Linked DNA regions of Rattus norvegicus. The main gene of each other region encodes a partner of the protein of the gene in region 3 in a complex. Links are inferred from orthologs where the notes say so. Each region holds a gene or a part of one and is shown on either strand. Other genes may lie near its edges.

Region 1 (4,177 bases), about 200 Mb from region 3:
TTCTATAAGGCAAAGGACACTGTCATTAGGACAAAATGGCAACCAACAGATTGGGAAAAGGTCTTTACCAATCCTACATCCAATAGAGGACTAATATCTAATATATACAAAGAACTCAAGAAGTTAGACTCCAGAGAACCAAATAATTCTATTTAAAAATGGGGTACAGAGCTAAACAAAGAATTCTCAGCTGAGGAATATTGAATGGCAAGGAAGCACCTAAAGAAATGCACAAAAAAAAATGTTCAGTGAGGTTTTTTGGGGGGCAGGTGCTGAGGTCAGATGCCTCGGAAAATTGAGGAAAGCAAAGACCTTCTACTCACAGCCCTGCGGAAGGATACCAAATCTGTCAAGATAAAAAAGAACAAGGAGAATTCGAAATTCAATTCGCTGCAGTAGTACCTTCACTCCCTGGTTATCACAAACAAGGAGAAGGCAGAGAAGCTGAAGCAGTCTCTACCCCATGTATTTGGCAGTGAAGGAGCTGAAACGAACCAGACCTCTGCATGTGACTATTAAAAAGTAAAGAAATGTTCAACATCCTTAGTCATCAGGGAAATGCAAATCAAAACAACCCTGAGATTCCACCTCACACCAGTCAGAATGGCTAAGATCAAAAACTCAGGTGACAGCAGATGCTGGCGAGGAGGTGAAAGAGGATCGTTCCTCCATTGTTGGGACTGCTACAGCCATTGTAATAGGATTCCTATGGGCTGAGCCCCATGTGCTGTTTCCCTGCTGATTTTAACATGTATCTTTGTGAGGAAGCCCAATGCAAGTATTGTGAAATACCTCTAGTAAGCCTTTACCAAGCCTGAAGCTGGGAACCTGAACCGATGCGCAGACGCAGATGTGTGTACGTGCGCGCAAGCCTGCGCGCGTGCCCGTGTGCGTGCTCGCGGGCGTGCCCGCGGGCAGCCCGTGATCCAGTGCACAAACACACACTTGTGCGTTCTTGCGTGCTGGAGTGCTGAAGAGCTCACATAATTGTGCGGGTGAACATACGACACACAGACACACACATACACACATGTGAATGTGCACGCGCACCCCTCACATCCCCTCCCCCACCTACATGCTCTCGCGTTCTCGCGCTTGGATTGGATGCTGGGTGTGATTGCGTGTGTGTGTGTGTGTGTGTGTGTGTGTGTGTGTGTGTGTGTGTGTGTGCCCTCCACACACAGGCACGTCCCCTCCTCCTCTCCACATAAGCACACATTCTCATGTCCTTGAAATGTTTGTTGCTTGTGCCCATGTACACCACACACACATATTGTTGAAGGGCTGATTTCGTGACTCTCAGTTGAAACAAAGGTTCTAGTACTGTTATTTTGATAAATGGCTTTGGATGAAGTATTAACTTCATTAGGCCCTGGATTTTTTAATGCGTGGGTGGCATCAGTAAGCAGCACTTACATATTGATAGGAGGGCAAGATAAATGAAAAAATAATAATGCACATCACAGGTGCTCAGTAAAATGACTTTATGTCCATTTAACAAATAGATAAGAAATAAAATATTAAATGTATAGTTAATGATGTAATATTTGAAATTTTGAGGTATAACTGAGTAAACAGTAATATTTAATGATAACATCACAACGAAAGAATCATTTTAATGTTAATGCATACTACAGAAAACACAGTAATTAGTAACTTATATCTGATTAATGACATCACCATAATTTATATTGTATAATTTTATAATGTGTATTTAGATTATATTTAATAAAACATCCCTAATTTTGTAGATGTCATTTTACAAAACAATTTTTTAAAAAATTAGCATGCACAGTATTAGACATCACTATATTCATCAAAAGTCTTTCCATCAAAAACATGGGAGGTTCTTAGAGAGACTGCGCAGAAAAATTAACTGGATTACGTTTCCTCCCCCCTTCTGAAAAACATGGAGTATGTGCTTACACATCAATGCAAAAAAAAAAGAAAAGAAGTGGGCACACTTAGACAAGGATTCTGTAGCAAATTTTCATAACAAAAGAAAAAGAACAAAAAGCCATGTTTGTGTAATTCAATCAATAAATCTGTCATAGTCCCATAAATAAATAATATTGTAAATATTGCTAAAAATTCTTTTTGCATTTGAATTTGCTGCAAATATCCTTTTAAATATTCCCTTTTCTTCTCCCGAGAGCGCAAGTAATTGGTTACGCAACAGGTGAAATACTTGCTGGCATCTTTTTGCTTTAACGAAACAAAACAAAATCACAGAGGAAACGTTTCTACGACGTTTACACAGTTACAATAAAGGCAGAATTTACCATTTAGTAGATTCCCGGATAGCCTCCGTTTCGGGGGGCTTTAGGCATTGGGATGAGCCTACAATTGAAACGTAATCAATTACTGTACTTAGATGTAATGAAGACAGCCTGTCACTGCGCACCTGACTGTCAATCTACAAGGAAACACGCAGCAGCTCGAGGGGCATTTAAGCCCCTGAACCCCGATGGGAAGGCGAAGGCTGTGTCTGTCGGTCAGAGCACTGTGCAAGGCAGCCGGGACAAGCAAAAGAGAGGCCACTCGCGGGCATCCCCCGCCTCCAGCAGCCCGCTTGCGAGCATCCAAAAGCCTCCGGGAGTCCCTTTGCGCATCCCCGGGTCTTCGACAGTCTCATCGCCGTCCCCCCCAGGGACAGGGAAGGCCTCGGCCCCCACTACAGTGCGCCTGCCGGATACTCACGGAAAGGAGAGACAGCCGGACGACGCGAAGCGGCTCCCTGCGCCCAGGCAAGGGCTAGGGAAGCAGCAGCTCAACCCGCTCGACCGCTGGCCACGCACGCTGTCCAGTCAGCCCAGTGTCGCAGTGCGGGAGGCGCGCCGCCCGTGACGTCAGGCCCGCCTCTGCCGCTGTTACCTAGGTAACTGAGTCGCCGGGCAGAAGATGCCAGCCTGACCACGGCCACGCCCCCTACCCAGCCTCCGGAGCGCGTTTCCGGGGTCCGGCGGGCGCGCGCACCCGGCCGGAGGCTGAGTTCCGCCCTCAGCGCCGGAAGCGAGTCCCGAGTGCACGTCTCCCGCTAGTGAAACCTGTCGGCTCTCGCCGCGGGCAAAGCGCGGTCACTCAGAGCTTGAAGGAGAGTGTGTGTGTGTGTGTGGGGGGGGGGGGGACATAGGTGGGAGGTGACGCGTCCGGCGTAGATACGGGAACGAGTGGATGGATGGATGGATGGATGGATGGATGGATGGATGGATGGATGGATGGATGGATGGATGGGCGAGTGAGCGAATGAGGCAGCACAGCCGAGAAAGACTCGTCACCCCACAAAATGAGACGCGCCTTTAAATGTGAATGGGGATCCCTGCTGCAGACAAATCCTCAGGCGCCCGAGTTTACAGTGTGGAAAAGGGATTACGCCACATTTACTTTCCAACGCCCCCTCACTTCCGCTTCAGGCGCCATCTTGGGCTTGTGAGTCACCCAGAGTGGAAAAATACGAGGTGCATCATTTCCCTCAGAATCAGACGCCATTTTCGGCTGCTGCCCTCCCACACAACCTGTGGCTCCTTTGTATGGCGACAGTATTGCGTGATTGTCCGGAGGCCAGCTTTTCCGTTCTGACTGGTATCAGACCTAACAAAACACATCTCGTCAGGGTCTCAAAATGCAATGAGGAGACCACGGGAAATGTCACCAATATAAAGCCTGCATGTTGAGCTGCTGAGTTTGTCATTCAAAAAAACCCTCAAAATCCCCTCCTCTAAACCTATCTTGATTTAAGCTACCTCCATCCCTGCAGGGTTTTACCAAACCTATCTTTAATGTCCCTAGTGCAAAGCCTATCCATTACGGTTACCTAAGGCAACCTGCCAGTCTTTCTTACGCGGGAACTGGCCTCACTACCTGTGTCCTGACTCCAGTTTTGACTTCGAATTTTCTTTCCCAACAGTGCCAGACTAACCTTATTAATGTGAAGCTGGTAACGCTACTGGTACCCTCTTTTGAAAATTACTTCAAACGAGAACAATCTCATCACGTTGCCATGGATACGGATGCTCCCTCTCCCTGGGGTTACTCTCTCATTACCTTCTTTTATTCAGTTTTACACATTTTTTTTGAATTACGTACATCATGAAATAAGCAACATCGAATTGTATGTTGCACATAACTTTATGCAATATTGAATTATGTATGCAATGCCAATTTACACCCTTTTCTG
Region 2 (3,500 bases), on a different chromosome or scaffold from region 3:
ATATGAGATTCTCTATTTTGAATAAAAATTTAAATTAACAAAGTATAGGAAATTGTGGGGAATGAAGAATGCATAAACTATGAAGAGGAACCAAGAAAAGATCAGCTATAAATTTCAATATCTGGACTGGATATATTAAAGCACATCATTTCCAGCTCTTTTCTAAGTCACAAACATACACAGAACAACAACAACAATGACAACACTCGGAATTACACTTTTTTTTTTGTTAAACATCATATCCCGAGCAATTTTCCATACATACATAGTCATTTGGGGAGGTAGAAAGGATGACTTTTATTTATATATAAAAAGTGGCAGCATAGGAAAATCAGCCAGGCACAGTCTGATATCTCTGCTCAGTCGGTTCTGATGACCCCAGTCTTCGTAGCTTCCATCTGGTCGGTAGCCGACAACGCCAGGAATCCTCTGGGCCTTGAGCTCCTTCACTGCGAGGGTCTCCTTCCGCTCAGGCTTCACCATCCCCGGGGCACACTCGGAGAGCTGGAGGGCTGGGGACCCAGCACCCACTGGCTTGCTAGTACTTGATCATGTGTGGAGTAGTGACTCTCACTGACTTTCAGTTGCTCCCTAGTCCTGCTGGGCATTTTCCAAGACATTTATGCCTGCATCCTCCTCCTTGTCCCCTTCAAAGTCATTGCCACTGAAGGTCCTCATTGTCTGACATGAGGACAGTGGACTCCCATCTTTAATATAAAATAGTTAAGCACTAACTTCAGAGGTTTAATTGTAAAGGTAAACCAGCCTACACAATCCTCTCAAACGTTTGCATGCTTTCTTCCTGTGGAAAAATCTAGACTCTAAGAATTTTCCTTGGGTTAAAATTCACATAAGCAGTCTAAGACTAGAGAGTCCCAAGAATCTCCTGACGTTTACTACTCAAAACATTTTCCAGTTGTAAAAACCTTCCTGATAACACCTGTCTTACGGTTCACATTTTATTAACCATTAGCTTCACAGAAGTATGGCAAGTTGAAGACGGAGCACCATGGTTTTAGATATCAATATCGCTGACATATTAGTTATATGCACTTTACCCTAATTTGCTATCTTGTAATTGTGACTGACATATATGTCCTATGATAGTAAACTAAACTGAATTACTACTCACGTCCTGAGGCTTTCCAAAGGGTACACTTTTGATGGCACTCCTCGGTTGTCATCTTTGTTCCCAGGGGCTTACGGCTTAAATTATTACAGGTAACCTTTCAACCCACAGTCGCGTCTAAGAGCTAAGGGAGGGTTTAGCTCCTCAATTCTCCAAGTCGCAGATATGGGCTCAGTGAACCCCTAAGGCTTTCTTCTTAGCACCCCTTGTTCTTTTTTGGGGTGTCCTTGCTCGGGTCTCAGTATCATCAACCTTTAGCCAATCTTTGTTTCATTTATCTCCCCAGGTTTCTTTTATTTAGGGTATTTTACTGTAGACTTAAGATCCTGTCATTTCACTTGTGATTCTCTAATAAGGATTTAATGAAACAACCGCCACTGTCATTTTTATAACTAACAAAATTAATCACTTAATAGAACAGCGAATGATTATGTCAGACTTTCTCGGTATCTTAAGCTTCGCTGCCCTGTTTCCTAGTGTCCCTCAAGCAGGATCTCCTCTACCCCACCATCAGCCCTCCTCTCCTTTAACGCCGTTGGTTTGTTACAGACAGTCAGCCATGTGCTCTGTGGTGCGCTGCACATTGGATGTGCTAAGGACTTCTATCAGCTCTGTCTCGGTTGCTCCTCTGGACTCTGTTCTTCCTATAAAACCGTGGTTAAACTAGAGATTTGATTGTCTTCAGGCTCGGTCTTCCCAGCACAGCAGGAAGTGCAGTGTCGGCTTGCTTCATTTTTAACTGACTGAAAGGAGTCTCTGTGTCCGGATCCCGTGAGCCTGACCCTTCGCTAGAGCTGCCATTGACACGCTCTTGTTTAAGAACCACTGATGACTGCAGTCTGTCTTTCCACCCATTAGTCTCAGTGCACTGGTGCTCCCCTAACTCAAACATCCTCCCTCTCTCCCTGCAGAGGAGGAAGAACTTTCCTGGCGCACTTGATTACTCTGAAATCCATGGAGACTGCAGACAAACCCGGGCTCCATTCGTACTCAGGTCATTACTTGGCAGCCCTGCGACTTTCCAAAGTCATTCGTGAGGACTACGTTCTTACCGCCTCTCGCCTCAGGTTCATGTTCATGTCCTCCATGTTGGTGTCCGCATGGCCGTGGACTGACCTGCCGTGAATGTAATATCCAAAACATCTGTGGGACAGCAGGAACACTGACACCTGCAGAGAGCGCGGGAAAAGAGGCGATCAGGGACTTCTCCATAACGGCCAAGTAAGCTTTTGTTAAAATGGCTACCTTTTACCCAAAATAACGATTAGCAAGGAAACAATGTTGTTTGTTGTGTATAAAGTTAGTGGAAAGAAGGCTAGAGCTGTTTTCTAAGAATGTGTGAAAAAAAATCAGGGGCTGCAGGATGAATGAATCACTAATTAATTATTCATAATTAAGAACTGCAGATAAAGAAGAAAAAAGGTAAGGCAAGAGTATTAACTTGTGGAAGAATATATCTATTCTTCAAATTAATAGCTGGTTGAAAATTAGATGGGCAATCCGATCATCACAAGCCAACTTATTAAACTGCTGTAGAGCTGCTCGGTGAGATGTACGGGCACGTTTTAATGCTTCTCTACACATACCTGTCTTTCCAAAGTGGAAAGTGACAGTCGCAAGATGATCTTAGAGAGTACTCACGTTACTCATGGAGCACAGGTCAACGAACTGCCGGATTTTGTCTTCTATGAATCTCTCATAAAAGGCAGCAAAGAAAACAGCCTGAAACAGCAAGGCATAGTCACGCATGCTGCCTCCTTCGGGAAGTCCACCGTCCTTAATAACCGCAGTGGACTATTTTAAGAAAACAGACGTTCCAACCAAGAACACAGTGGCCTCTAAAGGTTCCCATGGGATAAAATCCCATTTATCTGTTCTGAGTCTATCCCCTAAGGCGGTGAGATTTGGAATTATGTCAAGAGTTCCTGAGTGACCATTTTGAAAAGTGCCATATTTGGAGCCCTCCCCACCACTCTCCAATCCTAACCTCTACTCTTCTTTGTTAACTACCTCACATCGCTGTCAGGTATCTTCATAGCATTTGTCATAGTCTAGTTAGCTCTTGTAAGTGTTAGGGCTTTCACACAGATTCAACAGTGTCTATTACATAAGGCATGCTTAACCTAAGGATGGATTAGAGACTCCATAGCACCTTGTTTATAGTATATCCTTAAACTAAACACCACCACCACACACACACACACACACACACACACACACACACACACACACACACACACACTCTTAAGGAACAGAACATACTAACAGTTAAGATTTAAAATGTAAAGGAGTGAACACTGAAGCCTGCTTGACTGTTAGGCACATTTATGAAGAGGTTAGATGTTAGGTGCAGTTTTAAGAATGCTACTGT
Region 3 (4,267 bases):
CCTGTTTCAAAAAAGAAAAAAGACAAAAAAAGCAACATATGAGCCAGGCATAGAAGTACACATTTATAATCCCAGCATGCACGAGGCTAAGGTCAGAATTGAGAATTCAAGTTCATCCTGGTCTCCTTGCTTCAAAACACCAAAACCAAACTGCGTATCTGTGTGTATACACATGTATGTTTATATCCACATGTATACACATAATTTATAAACAAAGTAAAATATGTATAGCTATAATATACATGTGTGTATGTAAATGTATATGTACGTTAAAACTTCAATTCATATGGAAAATAATTTAAGTGCATTAAAAATGTCTGTTCTTTAGGGCTACAGAGAAGGAGCACTGGGTGGTCAAGAGCACTTGCTGATTTCCTGAGGACCAGGTTTACTCAATGGCAGCTCAGCACTCTGTAACTTCAGTTCCAGAGGATCTGACGCCTCTCTCTCTCTCTCTCTCTCTCTCTCTCTCTCTCTCTCTCTCTCTATCTCTCTCTCTCTCTCTCTCTCTCTCTCTAAATAACTTTTAATTCTTACTTGTGCTTGTATGTGCCCACAAAGCCCAGAAGACAACATTGGATCCTCTGGAATTGGAATTAGACAGTTGTAAGTTATCTAATGTGAATGCTGGGAACTAAACTGGGGTCCTCCTGCAAAAGCAGGAGGTTTAAAAGTCCTTTTAAACCTCTGAGCCATCTCTAGCCCAAGACCTTCTTCTGACCTCTGTGGGTACCAGACATACACGTACTATACAGGCATACATACAGGCAAAGTATCCATAGACATAAAACAATGTTTTAATTAAAAAATATGTATTCTAAAAGCCAAATATGGATTCTGTACTGTATAAATCTTTCTTACTATTGCCAATATATAAAAGAAAAAAATGTTACCATGTTTTTCTTTGCTTTTTTTTCCCTTGTTTTTGTTGCTTTTCTTTACTAAGTTTGATCACATTGGCAGGTTTTTTTGTTTGTTTGTTTGTTTGTTTGTTTGTTTGTTTTGAGCTAGGATCTCCTTATACATCCCTGTCTGGTCTGGAACTCACTATGTCTAGGAACACATAGCCATCCTCTTGCCTCTGTCAGTGGGTACTGGGATTAAAGGCATGTGCCACCATGCTCACCTTAGCAAGGTTTTTGGTCTTCTATATGTGAACTGACTCTTAGTGTCCCTTACCATTTTTCTCCCTTGGGTTTGTATCTTAACACTGGGATGATATGTTCTAAGTAATCAGCAGTTTTGCTCTGTGTCTCTGGTGTTTAAAAGCTTCTAGAGGAATCCTTGTTTAGAGAAGTGGAGGGAACCTTAGAGTTCTTTAGGAATGTACTGCTTTACTCTCTCAAACAAAGCAAGGAGAAGAAGCAGGCACTCTTGTAGTAGTCAGGCAACTGGAAAGGAATGAGCTAAGATCAAATGCTACTGCCAGTTCTAGCCTCACTTAGAAACACACAGGTAAATCTTGACCTAAAATACAAAGCAGCAGCTTGAAGCCTTAGGGAGGAAGCAATCAATGGTATACATTACACAGACCCAATCTCTGATAGTGAGCCTAGGTTATCAAGTTTCAGGCTCCAGCATGTCTCATAAGCAATGGAAATATTTTCTGAACAACACTCACCAAAAAACAATCGTATTACTTCAATGCCAAGATAAAGGAGCAGCATCACCACATCTAGGACTAGGTTGGCTGTTGGGTATGGCAGCAGGAGACCTACAAGTGTAAAAGCCAGAGTATGTAAACAGCCCCCACATCCCCACAAGGCTGCCACACATCCAGGGACAAGGATACTAGTCTTAACTTCTCATGAATCAGTTAGCAAGGTATAGATTGTTACAGCCACAGGCTTTAAGTCTAGAAGTCCTGACTCCCAAATGACTGAATTATAACGGTACACAGATCTGAATATTTCAGTAAAGAGGGATGGGGAAGCCCACATTTCTCAAGTTCAAGACTTGCTGAAAGACTTCCTACTTGATCATTCCAAAGCCACTAGTTGGAGAGACTTCTGCCTTGCAGTGGAGATGCTGCAGGGGCCAGAAGATAGAAGGTTCTTGGAGTAGGCTAAAGTAGAAAAGGGCTGCTGAAGCAGGCCAGTTAGGCCCAGCCTTACCTTTGTACAGGAAAATAAGGAGCTCCAGCAGGAAATAGGTAGCATAGTACCACCCATTCAGAAAGAACAGGATTTCCAGAGGGGTTGAGGACAATCTTTTATCTGGGAAAAAAAAAAAAAAAAAAAAAAAGCAACACAAAGAATGGACAGGGCAGCTGGAGCTCTGCCCCGTTCTGTGTAATGATTCTGTGTAATCTGTAGAAAACACAAGGTTATTGTGAATGAGGGAGAAACTTCTGGTTGCTAAGAGTGTTGATGTGAAGGGAACTGCCTTCAACCTCCTTTCCCAGGAATCACTTTAAGGTCGACTTCTCTGACAATTAAGCTATAATCACAGCCGAGAGGCACCTCAGATATTCAACCCTGTCACTACTGAAGAGGACATTGGAGCACAGAAATTTGCTTAATTCTGTCCAAGGCCGGAGGATTCGTAACTGGGCCATCCCAGAGCAGGGCCAGCCTGGAATTTTTAAGAGTACAGTATCCGAGTATCCATGCAGCCACTCGGGGTGGTCTGAGCAACCCAAGCCCAATTCGGACAAGTGAAGAGTAAGACCCCAACTTTTAGAAATGGAGGATTAGGTAGAGCTCTGGAGAGGGGCCTGGCAGGTACCAGTGGGATATAAGGGGCAGAGACACACACCTCCAGAGTCTCACCTCGCGGCGCCATGTTCAGTCCCCATGGAAACTGCGTACGCTGCAGCGCCCGGGGCAATGCAGCGCTGCCGGAAGCGCGGCACAGAGGCGCCCGGGTTTTCTGGCCGCTCTGCCTGCGAGTGCTACTCTATGGTTACCCCACCGGCCGCGCCCTTGCACGGAGCAACGCCCGCGGTCAACAGCGGACTGTGGTCTAGGGAGAGGATAAGGTTATATACGAAGGCAGAAAGAGCCCAGGAGACCCAAACAGCTCTCGAACTGAACTCTCCACCCCTGGCGTCATGGTGTTGGGCTTCATTGGCCGGGTGCGGCCGAATACTTGGAGGAGCGGCCCCAGGCCCACCATTCTCTTTCTACTGCCATGTGTTAGTTTAGAAAAAAAAAAAAAAGCAGCACGGCATGCCACTGTGCACAAGGCTTACCTAGGGCCCATTGACGCAACAAAATCCTGTGGAAACACCAAAACCACTGGAGGTAGAATGACCTTTCTAGGACATGTGGTAAACAGCGGTGCTATAACGTGGCTCTCCTGCCACCCAAAAAGTGCAAAGGTGTTGAAGGGAGACAGTTTATGCCCAGGTAGAAATTGAGAGATGTTTCCAACAAGCTTGAGTTAAGAATCCTGGCCGCAATTCGAAGCAAGAGCGTGTTGTTGCAGGCCGCAGAGTAAAAGAGTAAGACTTCTGAAAAGACATGGGTTGACTCTGCAGTCAGCCCTTAGAGTATGGCAGTCAGACAACAAATAACTGGAGAGAGTAACTAACCTGTAATGAAAGTGTTATTTCCCTACCTAGTGAATAAAAGCAGTAATTGTTGCTTCTCAAAGACCTAAAGCAGCTGGAGAGATGGCTCAGCGGTTAAGAGCACTGCCTGCTCTTCCAGAGGTCCTGAATTCAATTCCCAACAACCACATGGTGGCTCCCAACCATCTGTAATGGGATCTGATGCCCTCTTCTGGTGTGTCTGAAGACAGCTACAGTGTACTCAAATTTAAAAAAAAAAAAAAAAAAAAGACCTAAAGCAATTCCTCACCTGGAGAGAATAATTTAAGCAGAAGCCTATTTCTATCACTCCCCACCTCCACCTCTGCTTTCCTGCCTCCTTCACTGGCTTATTCTGGTCTGGTTTAGTTTGACTAGACAGATCTCCCTATGTAGGCTAGGCAGGCCTCAAATTCTCCTGCCTCTGCTTCCCGTCCAGTCCTGGAGTTTCAAGTGGGTGTCACAACGCTCTGGCAGGTCCTAAATGGAATTTTAATCCCCACTATCAAGAACCAGGGCAAGATGAGGTGATGGAAAGAACCCTGGTTCCTGCACCCCAACTGTGCTACCTTTACACACCTCCTGCTCTGAACCTCAGAGCAAAGGAAGGTGGACCAGTTGCTTGTTTTTTTTAAATTATGGGTCTTAAATCACCCTGCCTACACATATTGTGTACACAGATAGCTCTCATGCTACAGTGAAAAGTTTATCCATTGTCAACAGATTATATAGTCT
Region 4 (2,343 bases), on a different chromosome or scaffold from region 3:
TCTCTCTTTCTCTCTCTCTCTCTCTCTCTCTCTCTCTCTCTCTCTCTCTCTCTCTGTGTGTGTGTGTGTGTGTGTGTGTGTGTGTACTCAAAAATGATTATTACAGAAAGTTTATTCATCCCCAAAGAAAAGATTACTGAACCGGGGCTGGTGAGATGTTCTATTCCCGGCATCCACATAAGGTCACTTACAACCACCTGTAACTCTAACTCCAGACTCCAGGGTGACCCAATGCCTCCGGCCTCTATGGGCACGTGTGCTCACATGTACATGTTACCCCCACCCTCTGACACACTCACATTCGCACACAAGTATGAATAATAAAAATAGAACTCTACAGAAATAATTCTGAACCAGGGCTGGGTCACAAGCACAAGAGCGTGGTCTCTGGGCCAGGGTGGCCTCAGGATTGAGGCTGGGTGGGCTGCTGCGTGGGAAGGAGAGCGAAGTGCTCACAGTGTGTCCTCCTGCCTCGCCCCAGGTATCGGTGATCAATGGGACCAGTCCTTTTGCCCATGACTACGACCTGACTCACATTGTCGCTGCCTATCAGGAAAGGAATGGTGAGTTGCTGGACCCCTGTCCACAGGCTGCCCGGGCTTGCCGGAACTTGTCCTCTGTCCACTGTCCACACCCTTCCCCACAAGCCACCTCTCCCGTAGCCCAGCATATCAGCAATCACTCGCTTTATTTATCCTGTCACTGGCTTGGCTGCTTTGCTCTCATTAGTGTGTATTGGTTTGAGTGAGTTGTCTCTCATAGTACACCTGTAAGAGAAGTCAGGGCCGTTTACTGTCCTCACTTTCCAGACAGCGATGGGTGATGCGTGTCAGGCAGTCCGCAATGGTAGGCTGGTAGAAGGGAGGCACCGGCAGAACTGACTATAGGTAGCGTTCGTCCCTAGAGGAGTGTCCCCAGGCTTGAGTCAGCACACCAGGCTGGTTTGTGGTCTAACATTTTCCCTAAAGGCATCAAAAGTGTTTCTGGCAACACGACATTATGGGTGACAGCCACAAACGTTTCACAAGTGGAGGGCTTTTAATTCCAGTATTTCTTTTTAATTTTATGCAGTACAATAGCAGCAATACAATTCCTAAAACTAAATCTGACAACTGCTGGCCCCAAGATCAACTCTTTCCTCTTTAATTCATTCACTCTTTGTCCATATATAAATAGTTTCATACAACTTTCACTCTTCGGGGCTGAGAGCTCGAGCTCTTGCTTAGCATAGATCGGGTACAATTCCCCCGATTCAGTCACCAGTGCCACATAAAGCTTGGTAGCACACACACACACACACACACACATAGCCCCAGCCCTCAGGAGATGGAGACGAGAGTAATCAGAAATTCAAGCTCATCCTTGGTAATATAGCAAGTTGGAGACCAGTGAGCTACATGAGAAGAGAGAGAGAGAGAGAGAGAGAGAGAGAGAGAGAGAGAGAGAGAGAAACAGAGACAGAGACAGAGACAGAGAGACAGAGAGAGAAGAAAGGAGTCAATGAGATGGTTCAGTGGGTGGATAAGAGCATTTTCCATTAAGCCTGATGACCTGAGTTCTATCCTTGGGGTTCACATGGTGGAGGGAGAGAATTGGTACACCTGCACACACACACACACACACACACAAGCATGCAAATAGATCTTAGAAACAGAAAAGACTTTGGGATCTGTACTCAAAGACTACTTATAGCCCTTCGCTTTGAATTAATGACTAATGTTTGCCTTGCAGTTACCACTGTCCTCAGTGACCCCAACCCAATCTGGCTGGTGGGCCGGGCCGCTGAAGCTCCTTTTGTGATCGATGCTGTCATCCGCTATCCCGTGGAAGTCATTTCATATCCTTTCTGTTAGCCGGGTTCCACTAGGAAAGAAGAGCTTCCTTAGTTTAGTTACCCCAAGTAGGAACAGATGTGGGACTCACAAGATAGGAAATTGCCACAGCTCTTTAGCCCCATACAAATGACTGCTGCTCCTACAGCAAAGAAAAATCAATTTCCTGTGCCTCTTTCTTTCTAAACATTTCTGAGTCAGAATTATCCATGTTTATATCTTAATAATCTCTGGAGAGTATTTGAAGTATTCTGTTTCCCATCTGACCTGAGCTTTGGGGTAGCTGTTCCTTACTCGTGGCTGCTGTTCCTTAGCATTTGTACTTATCAGCCAGGGTTCTGGGAGATGATAAAGTTTGCCTGGATCCAGTATGTCAGCATCCTGCTCATCTTCCTCTGGGTGTTTGAAAGAATCAAAATCTTCGTGTTTCAGAACCAAGTAGTGACCTCCATCCCTGTAGCCGTGCCCCAGGGAGAGATAAGGAAAGAGCACTTATCCTGAGAAGCTTCTG
Region 5 (4,160 bases), on a different chromosome or scaffold from region 3:
TGCCATGCTCACTTGTTAATACACTCTGTGACAGTGTCAGAATAGGAGCCCTGGGCGTGTAGAACTGGAGCTTTGCGTTCCCTCCACACATGAGTTCTCCTCACCCACGCATAGCAGGTCTCAGTAGGACGCATGCCAACTTCGACCCAAGCAAACCAAGATTTCCAAAGTTATGTGAGGTCACAGTCTTTAAATCTCAAGCTCAGTCTGCCCTCTGAGCTTCGGGGCCCCAAAGTTCCCCCTGGTCCCACTTTAGTCTTGCTAAAGCACGTTTACCATCACTCTTCTAAACTATCCTTAGTGTGGAAATACTTACAATGGAAAGCCACAAACACTATAGCAGTGTCCTCATTACACAGGCGACACAAGGCCAATAATCTGTTTTACATTGGACAGAAAAACAACACATTTTTAACGGAAAGTACCGACACTGCTATCTGACCACACGGACCTATCTCTAAAGTCAGCTGTCATAGTCACATCCAAGAACCCAGGGATGACCCAGCAGATACAGAGAAGAACTGAGAGAAAAAGGCTGTAGTATATAAAGCACTTAATTGATGCTGCTCCTAAGGATGGTGTATTAATTATCAAAGAAATTATGGCTTTAAAGAGTGAGGCGTTTGAAAAAAAAAAAAACATGGTCCTGGGTTCAAATTCCCATCTTGCCAGCTGTGTGATCTTGAAATAACACAGCCGATTCTGTAAACTCATAATCATACTTCCTACCTCAGGTGACGATGGTTTCTTATGGGCTCTGTACTGAAAATATTGCAATAAAGTGACTGTCACAGACCAGGCTCACTGTACTGGTAGGGTTTATTATTATAGATGTTGCCAGGGTTAGGGTCAGAACCGTTGGCAACTCTAACAAGATAGGCTCGGCCACAGTAGGGCAACAAAAGAGAAAAATAATGGACAAGTCAGAGATAATATGGTGACTTTGGGAAGTGGAACATAGGTGTCCAGTGATGTCAAAGTCTGTCTTCCTGGGTCCTGATGTGAAATTTAGGTCTGAATAAAAGGTACCAGGAGGGATATATAACTAAGCAGTTTTGGTCAAGGTGTGGTCCTTCCATCACTGACACATCATTGTCTCTGTCCCAGTATCTTATGCAAGGTCACTGACAAGCTGTCAGAACTCTTTTTTGGAGAGTAGTCATTCTCCACGTTGGTACTTGGAGCCAATCTTTTCCTTCTCCCAGCACTTGGTACTGAGAAAATACAATTTTTAGAGTTAATTGTCTTAATAGTCTGATAGCAGAAGGAGAGGCACAAATGTTTCTTTGGAGTATCTTTTTTCCAACAAGAACGGTCATAAGAGGTCACAGTTGGGGGGAAGGGATCAAGAGGGGAAACATCGGTTCAGAGAGGAAGAGAATCATAAAAAACACCTTAGGGGGTTGTGCACCCTTACTCTCTTTAGTTTTTATTCCCACCCCTCACAGCCCTAAGCAAGTCTCTTCTCCCCTTCCTCCAGCCATGCCCAGGACAAGGCCTTTCCTTGTCTGTTTAAAGTGTTGCTGGAACCTCCTCCCCTCTACCATACTCACTTTTTCTCTTCAGAGAGGAGGCTTTTCCTTTCCAGTGGGAGGGCCCACTCAAAGCTGGGAACTCTCAGGAGCTGTGATTAATTATGTAACGGCAAGTTATTTTAGCCCCGGCTTCTAGAGTTCAAGGTGAGTGACACAGCTGTGTGTGGTCATTTAATCAGATGGAGGGGACACCTTTCACTTGTTGAGGGCAGGCTCTGCTCAGTGGGATTGCTCAGTTGCTCAGGGGGGCTGTGGCAGGAGTCCTGCTGTGCGTAGAGCTCTTTAGACCTTTTTACAAATCCCTCTTGGTGCTAATCTCATGTGCACTCCTTATCTGTTTATACATCTGCTTCCCCAATGCTTCTCAGCATTGGACCTGGTCTGCATCGTTTTTGTACACTGTAAACCTGAGTTCATTGTCTGCCGTATTATTGATGCTCAATAAAAAACTCTGTAAGTGAACTCTAGGTCAACTATTTATATATATATACACATTTTCCCTCTATCCATATACAGTCCCCCCTCTACATATAACATACTGTCGTTACATTTATTTGTAGAAACGTTTGCAATAGCAGACATGTATTTCTCATTAGACTTTATTAGCTTTTCTTAGCACCCATTTGCAAAAAAGAAAACAATCAGTTCAGCTGATGGCTAGTAGACTTTTCTGGGAGCTTGGTGGCCTGTGGTTCCTAGCTCTTTGTCCAATACCAAGAAAAGTGAAGTTTGCAGCACCAAGCACTCCCTCCAGCCCGCCCTCCTCTTCCTTGGAGCATTTTAAACTGAAGGGCCAAAAAGCAACATGGAGCTAGCGGTTGGCAGCACACTGGCCAGCGAGGTTCTCTGTGAACCAATCGGTTTGCACTTCTGCAAGCCAGAGACCAAACCGCAGCTGAAACCAAAGCTGTCTCTGCAGTGCCCCACCCCCCACTTTGCATTCAGAGAGTAAAACTGCAAGCGAGCTGAGCTGAGAGTCCCTAATGTTAAAGCGTTCGGTCTACTCTCATGGCACAGGGAGGGGCTGCTTTCCAAGCCGGAAGGAAAGGAGGTGAAAGCAGTACACTCTGCAGCCCTGTTTCTTTTAAAAAACCGATTTACCTTAATCCACTCTACAAAACGAAGTTTGCAGATTCCACTCTCTGGGATGGAGGGACGAGATGAGAGACCAGTTGTGTCAAGCTAGAGAATCTTTTAGAAATGAGCGAAGGGGTGGGCTGGGGTAAGGGAGGTTGTTCCCTGAGAAGCTGCAGCCATGTCTCAGGGAAAAAAAAAAACACCAGCTTAGCAACCAGTTCCCAGGGAAGGTCACTAGGCGGCTGCTTTTTTTTCCTTTTAAAGTGACAGTTTACTTTTCAGTCTTGAAATATGAGCTTGCTTGGCAAGCAGAGAAAAATAACGTGCTGAGAAGAGACAAAGGGAAAGCAACTGGGCAGTTGAGCAGAGAGGACTCAGGCTCGGAAGCATAGTACCCTGCCTCGTGTCTCTGGGTTGCACGGCATGTTGGGCAAAGGACAGAAGGTGTTCATGAGTAGTGATTTAGAATCAGGAGGGGCCATGTTATGTGGAAGAGATGTTTAATCATCACCAGCAAAGACTCTGTGGCCGGGCATCAGAGCTCCATGTTTGCTGGCTGTGCACAGAAGCTGGACCGCACAAACCTATGCTCTGTTTATTCTCCAATTCTTTACTACACATGACTCAGCAGGGATACAAACATGATGGCTCAAAAAAGGCAAGAAAATAGGAGAAAAGGCCGAGGAGAGAGAAAAGTAACGAGCAGACCGAGAGCCTCTGCGGACCAAGGACAGCCACAGATCAAGGAACTCCACTGACCATGGCCTCCTAACCTCACGTGCTGTTCCTCAGAAGCCTGCCATTTTGTTTCTTAGATAAGGTCTCTCACTGGAAGCTGGCATTTGGTGATTAGGCTAGGCTGCCTGCCTAGCTCCAGATTCCTGCTTGTCTTAGCCTCCCTGGTGCTGACAGAACAAACATGGACCACCATGCTGAGCTTCAGCCACCTTCAAAACCAGGTCCTCACGATTGCGTGATAAGCCCTTTACCAATGGAACTACCTCCTAGCCTCTATTTTCTGTGTCATAAAGCACTGACATTCATTATATGCATCTCTGAAGCTAGCTAATTCCTAGCTAATGGCTCCTCAGAAATGTGTAAATTCTCTTTGATACATACTAACTGACCCCAAGCTAGCATTTCCAACTACTGCTTTATTACCATGTAATGTCCCCCTGCTCTACGTCACTCTGGAGTCGGGTGGTTAGGGGGCAACTCTATAATCCAGAATATTCTGAAATAATTCAAATTATTTAATTCTAAACCCATCAGCATACTCACTGTCACAGCCTTCCTTACAGGGGAAAAAAATCCCAGTAAAGGGTCTCTTTTGGAGCCTGATGTTTGGGGAATGCTGTTTTCGGAGACTGTTGGCCAATGAGTTTCATTGACAGGCCTGTCTTGGCCTCCCCAGTGCTAGGATTATAGATATCTGTAGACACTTGGCTTTTATGTGGGTGCTGGGGACCTGAACTCCGTATTTGTTCTGGGCAAGCATTTTATTGATTGAGCCATTTCCCCAGCTTAAGAAACAAATTATATTCATTC
Region 6 (4,239 bases), on a different chromosome or scaffold from region 3:
TTGATTATGTTCCCCCACTCCGAAAGAAATCTTGCCCCTCTAGGTATTTTCCTCTCTGAACTGCATATAAGAAGTGCTGGTTAGGGCTGGAGAGATGGTTCAGTGGTCAAGAGTGCTGCTTGCACACACACACACACACACACACACACACACACACACACGTATATACAGGGAGCAGCACTATTAGGAGGCATGGCCTTGTAGGAGGAAGTGTCACTGGAGTTGGGCGTTGAGGTTTCAGACGCTCAAGCCAGGTCCACTGTCACTCTCTCTTCCTGTTGCCTGCCAATCTGGATGTAGAATTCTCAACTACTCCTCCAGCACGTCTGCCATGCTTCCTAACATGATGATAATGGACTAAACCTCTGAATCTGTAAGCCGGCTCCCATTAAATGTTTTCCTTGGTTACGTTGTATCTTCACAGCACTAGAAAGACTAAGTAAGACAGAAGACAGAGACTCTAGGAGCCAGAGTTGGGATACATTATTACATCTTTCTGGGCATTCCCCTAATCATCTCTGGAGGGATGACTCCTCACAGGCTGTTGTGAGGAACTCCACTCTTTCCATTATGCCTATCACACTTAGTGGGCACTCCACAGACAGTGCCCTTCCTTGTATACGGAGACAATGCTGTCTCAGTGTAAGCACAGATTTCACTTAACATGTCCTGTTCAGAATCGTACAAATACCAACCATGTAGAAGCAAAAAGAACTGATTTTCAAAAGCATGCTGCCATACAGGTGGCCATTTGTGACTCACACATTCTACTTACTAGACTGGTTACCCAACATCTTTTGCTTTTGTATAAAAGAAAAGGTCCGGGGATTTAGCTCAGTGGTAGAGCGTTTGCCTAGGAAGCACAAGGCCCTGGGTTCGGTCCCCAGCTCCGAAAAAAAGAAAAAAGAGAGAGAGAGAGAAAAAAAAAGAAAACAAAAGGTCCTTCAACAAGAATTTGATTATAAAAATTGAGCCCTAAAATACATTATAATTTAACTACATTCTTATTTTAAATTGGTTGTTCTAAATGTAAGAATTTAGGAAGATAATGAGAATTTCCACTGAAACTGATTTTTGTTTTTCTCTGCATAGTTTTTTTTAATTGACGGTTAATACTTTTAAAACAATCATGGGGTAGGGGACTGGAGAGATGGCTCAGTTGTTAAGAGCACTGACTGCTCTAACCAGAGGACCTGTGTTCAATTCTCAGCAACCACATGGCAGTTCACAATTGTCTGTAACACAGGTGTACATGCAGGCACACAAGCATAAAAGCCAATGCACATAAAATAAAACAAATTAATGAAAAAAAAATCATGGTCTCTAGAAGGAAACTAAGTTTTAAGAGCAAGGCTGACTATTGTGGTCTGTTTTTCTTGCTTTGATTTCTTAAACTATCCTAAATTATCCCAAATATAGGAATGACTTTTTTTCCCCCAAGGCAGGGTTTCTTTGTATAGCCCTGGCTGTCCTGGAACTTGATCTGAAGACTAGGCTGGCCTCTGCCCACTGAGTGCTGGGAGTAAATGCATAGTCAGCCTTGCTACTATCTAGGTTGTTGAGGCTCTGCACGGTAAGGCTCGCACTTTAAATCAGAAACATAAAATCCTAATTTTTTTCAGGTTTTCCCCTACATAACCTAAATTACACAAATGACCAAGGTGACAAAATGCAATGATGAGAAGTGGCTTTGTTTTCCAATACCCCCTTTAAAAAATAAAAATAAAAAAAGCCCAAATCAAGACGGATTTCCACTTTCTTGAGTTCAAAGGTGAAAATCATGTACGCTGTCGTCCTGATTGAGGAGGCAGAAACTGGGGTCAACTCGGTGGTATTTCGTTATTAGATTGAGGGAGAGAGTTTTTTATACAGGGAGAAAGGAACAGGCAGAGGAAGGCCATGTTAGCTTGGCCGCTGCCAGTGGCTGGTGAGGAACGTGCTTGCTCTGCTAGGAGTTTGGACACAGCCCGGTTTTGTGCAGGGTGGGAGCGGGAAGCCTCTTCCCCACCCTGGCCTGCGAGCGGACTGCTTTCACGTAGCGGGGACCGGCTTGTGGGAGAAGGCGTTCCTGCTATGCACTCTGCCTCCCAATCCGCTCGGCGACAGCGCCACCGGGTGCAGTAGCTGTGGCTACTGAAGCTCGTGGTCTCCCGGGTCCGCCACAGGGTCGCGGTCTCCTAACCCAGGACAGTACCCTGGCTGAAGCCGTGGCCGCCATCTTTGACCCGGGCACGGCCTATGCGGCCGCCCGCCCGCGAACCACACCTCCGCGTGGGGCCCCTTGCCACTCACCCGCGGCCTCACTGGACTCTGGCCCGGTACGGCTGGAGTCGCCGAACATGGTGAGGCTGAGGTTGCTCAAGCGCTGACGAACAGGGTCCGGCAGCTCCATGTCTGGCCTGCCCGGGCCTATCCCCTCACGTTCCCGCTAGTGGGCCAGCTCAGCGGCGCGTGGCGGTTCCCTTGGCAACAGGGCTGTGCTGGCCGCTGGGGACCTGGTTCCTGGGCTGCCCGGCGCGGAACAGAGTCCTCCAGAGCCTTCTCCGCGGAGAGGCGAGCGGGAGCCACCGGCCCGCTGCCGAATGTGGCCTAGTGCTGCTGAAAATGGAGGGTTCCTCCGTCTTGCTTTAAAGCTGCAGCGTCTTAAGATGATCACAAGTAATAAGCCATTTGGTCCTGAGCTGAGCCACAAGGAGCTCTCACACCAAGGCAGTTTTTCCGTAAAATTGGTGCGCCATTTCTAGAGGGAAATGGAAAAGAAACATAAATCTTAAAGAATGCGCTTGACCCAGTAGGTTCCTTTCTATCGGTACATAAAATCTGGAGTAAGGCCAGGGTGGATGAGACAAGCAAACCTGCTTCAGAAGACAGGAAAATAACTCAAAAGTATTGAGAGCAGTTGTTTCTGGAATATGGGTGACTTAAAAACTAAAAACATCAGCCGTTCCCTGCTCTCCCTTAAGATGTATCATTTTAGCACTCAGGCAGAGACAGGAGATCAGGCTAGCCTGGACTACATTGCAAAATCCTTAAAACCCAGAACAAACCGTAATAGCCATATAAAGAAAAGCACAATCGGATGTACCAGCACCCAAGTCAGTCAACCGTATCAGCATCTCCAGGAGCTACGTTTTCTCAGTTGCTTATGAAGCAACTTTATAGTACACTAATCGCACACTGAAGTTTAAAAAGAAAATCTGACTTTGATGTCAACATTTGTATGAATCTTCTTTTTATTTTATGATCACACCAAGTTTGTCTATGTTGATAAGTTTCTGTGTAGTTTCTACGTAGGAGCAGTTATGACAGGTGCCACTGTTGGTGAAAATGCTTGTTGGTAAGCATATGTTTATGTTGAGTATAACATACACCTTTTTGTCAAGTGTAACATTCACGTTTATGTTGAGAGTGTGCCGGAGAAGTGCTGAGTGGAGTGGTGTGTAAGACCGATTTTATTGGGATCTACGAACACATTCCCAAAGAGGTTTCATCAGACTCTCCCACCTCCAGCTATATTTGAACGTCCCTGTTATTTCATGAGTGTGGGCTTATATTCCACCCTAACCTTTTCATCTTTCTGGTGAAGGGCGGTGGGTCTGCAGATGTCTCAGCGGTTACCAACACTCACTGCTCTTGCAGAGGACCCCGGTTCATTTCCCTTTACCCACATGGTGGCTCACGTCTGTAACTCCATCAGAAACCTCGTTCCCAAAGGGAGTGAGAAAGGATTTATTCTGAGCTAACTATGAGTCCCCAAAGCGGGAAAGATAGATTCAGGTTATCCAGGTAATCTGTTCCGCCATCAAAGTGGCAATATGAATTTGTATTACTAGAGGGTGCAAGATAGCCATAAATCAATGCGTCTACTAAATCCATTAGTGAGGACACCAGGTAGGCAGGTCACAGCAAGGCAGGGACACCTTTGCCATAGGTCTCAAATGCTGTATGAGGGTATAATAGCTTTGGGTTGGTGGATTGGTGAAAGCCACAATCGGCTAACCTAACAGATTCCAAAGGTGTTTTCTGAATGGAATGATCAGATACAGAGGCAAGTGGTAAATGGATATCAAGAGGACTGAAGAGAGCCTAAGATAATTTCGTCCTTTGATCTGTAACATTCTAACCAACAATTACAGAAGCTCGGAATCTTTAATAAAGGCGTGTTTTTCCCAAGAAGCTTTAGGTCACACAGTCAAAAGGAAAATTCACATACATGAATGTCAAGAGGAAGAAATGGAA
Region 7 (4,300 bases), on a different chromosome or scaffold from region 3:
TTCTAGAAGCTGGGCAAACAATCAGCAGCAAGGCACTTGTTGTCATAGAAATAAGGTCTGAGCAATCAGTCAGTCATATACACAATTACTAAAAGCACCTTAAAGTCATGGCTCTGACCAGTGTTAGGAGAAATTTCAGGAGCACAGGACAAAATTCCTAAATTCTATCAGTCAGTACATGCGAAATAAATATGATCGTCAGAGAATCAGATAGGAGCAATCAGGATGTTGTCAGGTCCTGATTACACGGAAATGCTAATCAGCAGATCATGCAAGCTCCAATCATCATTTTCTATCTGCCCTCCGAGAGGAGGAACAGGTAAGGATTAACCTCCTGACGATAAAGGACAAAGGGAGCCCATTCCTAATTAAGTAAAGACATTCCATATTAAAGAAAGGGTGAGAATATGACAATTTAGCACGAACCCAATGACTTATAGTTATTGCAACTCAAGAGCAATATCTATTTGCAAGTCGCCTGAAATATTTTATTTTTCCATTCGGCGCAGAAAGAGAGAAACAAAGTTCTCCCATAATGCTCCGCTCACATACAGCAAATTAGAAGCCCTATGTGAGGTTCTTATTTACATATTCCCGCCCACTCACTTCCGCCTATTTTGTACCGTAAAAATCCAAATAGAAGCATAAGCTACTAGCTCACGTACAGAAGGCTAGAAAAAAGCCTTTATTTACATCAGCCTTTTGATTTACCCAATGGTCTTCTGACAAATAGTCTAAGCCTTGCTCTTATTATAAAATGAATTTTATTACAAAACTCTAATAAAATTATAACCCAAGATTTGTGAGATCTTATCCCAACATTGCCATTTTCTGTTTAGACGCAGTTGGGAGGAGCAAAAGACTAGGGCGAGAGAAAACTGAAGCCTCTCCCTTTCTTCTTCCAGCAATGGGAGGGAGTTCATCACGTTTCCGGCTTTGGTCTCTTCATCGGATTGTGATCAGAAGGGTTTCTTTTTCAGCCCAAAGACAGCGATGAATAACGCAGTTTCAGTGACAGCTGGAAAAGCGCTGTGGAAGTAGGGGGTGGGTTTAGAGCCCCTTCCGACCCAAACACTCAAACCTCCAAGCCTTATATGTGAGTGGGTTAGCGGATGGGTACGACTCTTTAAAACTCTACCAATTTCACATGTGCAGGAAAGGTCTAGGTGGGGGAAACCTTCAGATTTGGGGTAGACTTTCCACCACCCTCCATTCCAAAATAACCTGCAGAAGGCAAAAATGTACCAGTACGTGGTACATTCCCATCGCTCGAATATGAAGAAAGATAGGGCCACAGACGCGCTACAGTGGGCTGCAATGGCTTAAAAATACAGCAGAGTCAAGGAAAATAATAGGTAAGTGATGGGTCCCTTTAGTACTCGGACTTGGGCTCAGCTTGTTCCCTTCCCTTAAGACAAACACCAGAGTTGGCAGCCATGCCTTCTGAATTTGTGGACACTTATGTGTAAGAGGCCAGAGCTGAGTTTGTTTTGATAGGACCTCTCCCTGTACACTTTTGGGAGTTAATGTCACATATGCCCTAGGCCTCACAAGAATACCTACAGGTCTGATACACTGTGGGAATTTCTCCAGTGCTCTGGTCCTCCTTGTCCACAACTCAGAGTCAACGGCTATCTTTTTTTTTTTTTTTTTTTTTTTAAAAAACAGGGTCTCTCTATGTAGCCCTGGCTGATTTGGAACTCACTATGTAGGCCAAGCTGGCTTCGAACTTAGAGATTCACCTGCTCCTGCCTCCCTAGTGCTAGGATTAAAGGTTTGCAACATCACACCCGGGTATCGAGAACCTTCCTATGTGTCTCATTTTCTTGGTCCCTTTTGAGTTCCCACAATGGTTTGTATTTTGCACACTCCTACAGAATACTGTTTAATCACACTGATTTACAGATGTTTATCCATCTCTTCCTCAAACAGGATAAAGTGGTTTTACTCCCACTCATGGATCGCCAGAACCTGGCTCACATCAGGGTTTAAGGTTTGAAGTCTATTAATTCCCCAAAACTGTCTAAAACCTCTCACCTAGAGAGATTCGCTTTGCCACGTAGGGCAGAGACTTGTGCCCAAAAGGCCTACAGAAGTGGAAAGAGTGAGTGGTGATGATGTCGCATGGGGACGCTGGCCAGGCAGAAAGGATACAGAGGAGGCTCTGGGTGCTATTAAACATGGAGACTCCTGAGAGGAAGCCAGCCAGCTCCACTGCAAAGAGGCCCAGGGTGAGGCAGAGCGCTGCTACCAGTCTGCAGAGAGAAAGGGTGATGGACCTGGGTTTCCGGATTGCGTAGAAGACCCTGGCACTCTCACCCCGCCCCAAGAGCTCACTGGTTGTCCTGCTTCTCATATTCCTCCGGGGTGAACTTGAGAGGCAGGCAAGCCTGGATGTTGCTTTCCTGGTGAGCCGGGCAGAAAGAAAGAAAGAAATGTCAAAAGAGGGATGGGGTTGCGGGGGACGGGAGCAACGGACCCAGTGTGGGTCTGTGGGAGTGGACTGAGCTGAGCTGGGTCCACTCTAAGGTGAGAATGGGAGGGACAAGAAGACACGCGCGCGCGCCCTGTCCACGTCTTACCCGGGACCAGAACAAAGTGATGACAATCACCAGATGAGCCAAGAGCGTCAGGAATCGAGAGGGCACGAGCCCGGAGATCCGACCCATGGCCTCGGGGGCCCAAAGCGGAGGCCGTAGAAGTCTGAGGAGGGTCACTCATCAAGTCTCCCAGAGCAAGCAGGCCAGACCTCTCTACTTAAGCCTCCTTCCCGCGTGCTCAGGCGCCGCCCGGTTGCCATGGTAACTGCGTCCTCAGGCGCCATGCAGCTGCCTCCGGAAGTCTCGCGATAGTGCTGCGCCCTCTGCAGATGTCTATAGGCCAGGTACCCGAGCCGATGCTCACCTCCTGGTGCTTGTGGGATGAATCCGGGAGGATGCACCCGTAACCACCAAATCCTCCCTTTTCCTGTGCTTCCCACTCACTGCCTTGGGCGCCAGGAGATGAGGGAACGAAGGAGTAGAGCTTCAGCACCGAGCTTTGCCCCACAGTCTCGCCAAGCCCTCCCCGCCCCCCCCCCACAGCCCCTGGTTGTCAGAGGGCTCCCTCTCCCACCCAAGACCAAACCTCTGCCGATGAACGACTCTAATTTCTCCCTAAATAACTTGTCTCGGTTTCATGAAAGATTTGCCGAGTGCAGAAATGAGCAACCTTGGAATGGGTAGAATAGGATGTGGGTGGATGAGGTGACAGCCTCCTCGGGATCCCAAGGGATCTGAAAAGGTGAAGAATGGAGTGGGGGACTAGAACAGCTTGTGCGCCCCTGGGAGGCTTAAACCAGGCTGATTCACCACCGATTTCACTCTCGCTTTGAGTTGCCAGGCCGCGGACATTGCTCAGTTACAGACCCAGAACCTCTTCTTAGGGTGATGTGACTGATTTGGGGCTTCGGATGAAATGCCTGCGATCGGAAAGTTCTCACTACCATCCCAGTTCACAATCAAGTCCCATTGACAATGAACCTCCTCCTTTTGCACCCCCTCTTCTCTCATTTCTCTGTGTGTGTGTGTGTGTGTGTGTGTGTGTGTGTGTGTGTGTGTGTGCCTCTAAACCAGCCTAAAAGACAAGACCCAGAGGGATTTCATTCATTCAACAAATATCTGATGTCTCCCAGATGCCAGGCACTGTGCTTGACTCAGAATACATCGATAAAGTCCCTCCAGTTTATATTCTAGGCAGAGAGACTGATAACAAAACAAACAAACAAAACAAAACAAACAAATACACACACACACACACACACACACACACACAAAACCCCAACAAAACCCTGCAAGGTAATGTATGCTGTAAATTTAAAAACTTTAAAGGGTGACACTAGAATAATATCAAAGGAAAGTTTTGAAATAGATAATTCCTAAATTTTCGTTTCAAGGAATTGGGGGGAGGGGGAGAGAGAGAGGAAATGTTTCTGTCTCCCTAAAGTAATACATGGGGTCCCCTTACCTAAACCAGTGAGTAAAAACATTTAGAATGCAGAGTCAACGTTTTTTACTTAAAGGTCATGAAAGACAGGCTGGAGTTCTTCCCACTGAGTGGGGGATAAACCTAACCTAACATGAGATCCCAAACCAGACAAAAGACACCCCCCACCCACACACACACTCACACTTTCATTATAAAAGACTGGTGGAATGTTTGACAAACAGTATAGTATTTGTAACTTAAATAACAACAACGTAGATTTTTTTAATTTTTTATTTATTATATATGAATACACTGTAGCTGTCCTCAGACACAC

Evidence for each region.
Region 1: Tmem216 (region 3) and Ahi1 share a complex: the UniProt entries of both Homo sapiens proteins name them as parts of the tectonic-like complex. The link is inferred for Rattus norvegicus from reciprocal best matches to the Homo sapiens genes TMEM216 and AHI1.
Region 2: Tmem216 (region 3) and Tmem67 share a complex: the UniProt entries of both Homo sapiens proteins name them as parts of the tectonic-like complex. The link is inferred for Rattus norvegicus from reciprocal best matches to the Homo sapiens genes TMEM216 and TMEM67.
Region 4: Tmem216 (region 3) and Tmem231 share a complex: the UniProt entries of both Homo sapiens proteins name them as parts of the tectonic-like complex. The link is inferred for Rattus norvegicus from reciprocal best matches to the Homo sapiens genes TMEM216 and TMEM231.
Region 5: Tmem216 (region 3) and Cc2d2a share a complex: the UniProt entries of both Homo sapiens proteins name them as parts of the tectonic-like complex. The link is inferred for Rattus norvegicus from reciprocal best matches to the Homo sapiens genes TMEM216 and CC2D2A.
Region 6: Tmem216 (region 3) and Tmem17 share a complex: the UniProt entries of both Homo sapiens proteins name them as parts of the tectonic-like complex. The link is inferred for Rattus norvegicus from reciprocal best matches to the Homo sapiens genes TMEM216 and TMEM17.
Region 7: Tmem216 (region 3) and Tmem107 share a complex: the UniProt entries of both Homo sapiens proteins name them as parts of the tectonic-like complex. The link is inferred for Rattus norvegicus from reciprocal best matches to the Homo sapiens genes TMEM216 and TMEM107.

The regions. Positions count from the first base shown.
Region 1 is NC_086019.1:17,580,654-17,584,830, reverse strand, and holds the start of Ahi1 (jouberin), read right to left. Parts: upstream 2,801-4,177; 5' UTR 2,701-2,800; intron 2,341-2,700; exon of another isoform or gene 2,283-2,340; intron 1-2,282. UniProt on the Homo sapiens protein: Involved in vesicle trafficking and required for ciliogenesis, formation of primary non-motile cilium, and recruitment of RAB8A to the basal body of primary cilium.
Region 2 is NC_086023.1:30,338,167-30,341,666, forward strand, and holds part of Tmem67 (meckelin precursor), read right to left. Parts: intron 2,852-3,500; coding exon 2,771-2,851; intron 2,299-2,770; coding exon 2,182-2,298; intron 1-2,181. UniProt on the Homo sapiens protein: Required for ciliary structure and function. Part of the tectonic-like complex which is required for tissue-specific ciliogenesis and may regulate ciliary membrane composition.
Region 3 is NC_086019.1:216,623,720-216,627,986, forward strand, and holds the start of Tmem216 (transmembrane protein 216), read right to left. Parts: upstream 2,801-4,267; 5' UTR 2,785-2,800; coding exon 2,772-2,784; exon of another isoform or gene 2,758-2,771; intron 2,217-2,757; coding exon 2,115-2,216; intron 1,715-2,114; coding exon 1,622-1,714; intron 1-1,621. UniProt on the Homo sapiens protein: Part of the tectonic-like complex which is required for tissue-specific ciliogenesis and may regulate ciliary membrane composition.
Region 4 is NC_086037.1:56,794,173-56,796,515, reverse strand, and holds part of Tmem231 (transmembrane protein 231), read left to right. Parts: intron 1-481; coding exon 482-563; intron 564-1,731; coding exon 1,732-1,837; intron 1,838-2,155; coding exon 2,156-2,333; 3' UTR 2,334-2,343. UniProt on the Homo sapiens protein: Transmembrane component of the tectonic-like complex, a complex localized at the transition zone of primary cilia and acting as a barrier that prevents diffusion of transmembrane proteins between the cilia and plasma membranes.
Region 5 is NC_086032.1:71,645,532-71,649,691, forward strand, and holds the start of Cc2d2a (coiled-coil and C2 domain containing 2A), read right to left. Parts: upstream 2,801-4,160; 5' UTR 2,637-2,800; intron 1,573-2,636; exon of another isoform or gene 1,554-1,572; intron 1-1,553. UniProt on the Homo sapiens protein: Component of the tectonic-like complex, a complex localized at the transition zone of primary cilia and acting as a barrier that prevents diffusion of transmembrane proteins between the cilia and plasma membranes.
Region 6 is NC_086032.1:100,718,233-100,722,471, reverse strand, and holds the start of Tmem17 (transmembrane protein 17), read right to left. Parts: upstream 2,801-4,239; 5' UTR 2,393-2,800; coding exon 2,293-2,392; intron 896-2,292; exon of another isoform or gene 821-895; intron 1-820. UniProt on the Homo sapiens protein: Transmembrane component of the tectonic-like complex, a complex localized at the transition zone of primary cilia and acting as a barrier that prevents diffusion of transmembrane proteins between the cilia and plasma membranes.
Region 7 is NC_086028.1:54,269,696-54,273,995, reverse strand, and holds Tmem107 (transmembrane protein 107), read right to left. Parts: upstream 2,801-4,300; 5' UTR 2,670-2,800; coding exon 2,583-2,669; intron 2,406-2,582; coding exon 2,338-2,405; intron 2,280-2,337; coding exon of another isoform or gene 2,256-2,279; coding exon 2,155-2,255; coding exon of another isoform or gene 2,038-2,154; intron 1,322-2,037; coding exon 1,225-1,321; coding exon of another isoform or gene 1,030-1,224; coding exon 960-1,029; 3' UTR 476-959; downstream 1-475. UniProt on the Homo sapiens protein: Plays a role in cilia formation and embryonic patterning. Requires for normal Sonic hedgehog (Shh) signaling in the neural tube and acts in combination with GLI2 and GLI3 to pattern ventral and intermediate neuronal cell types.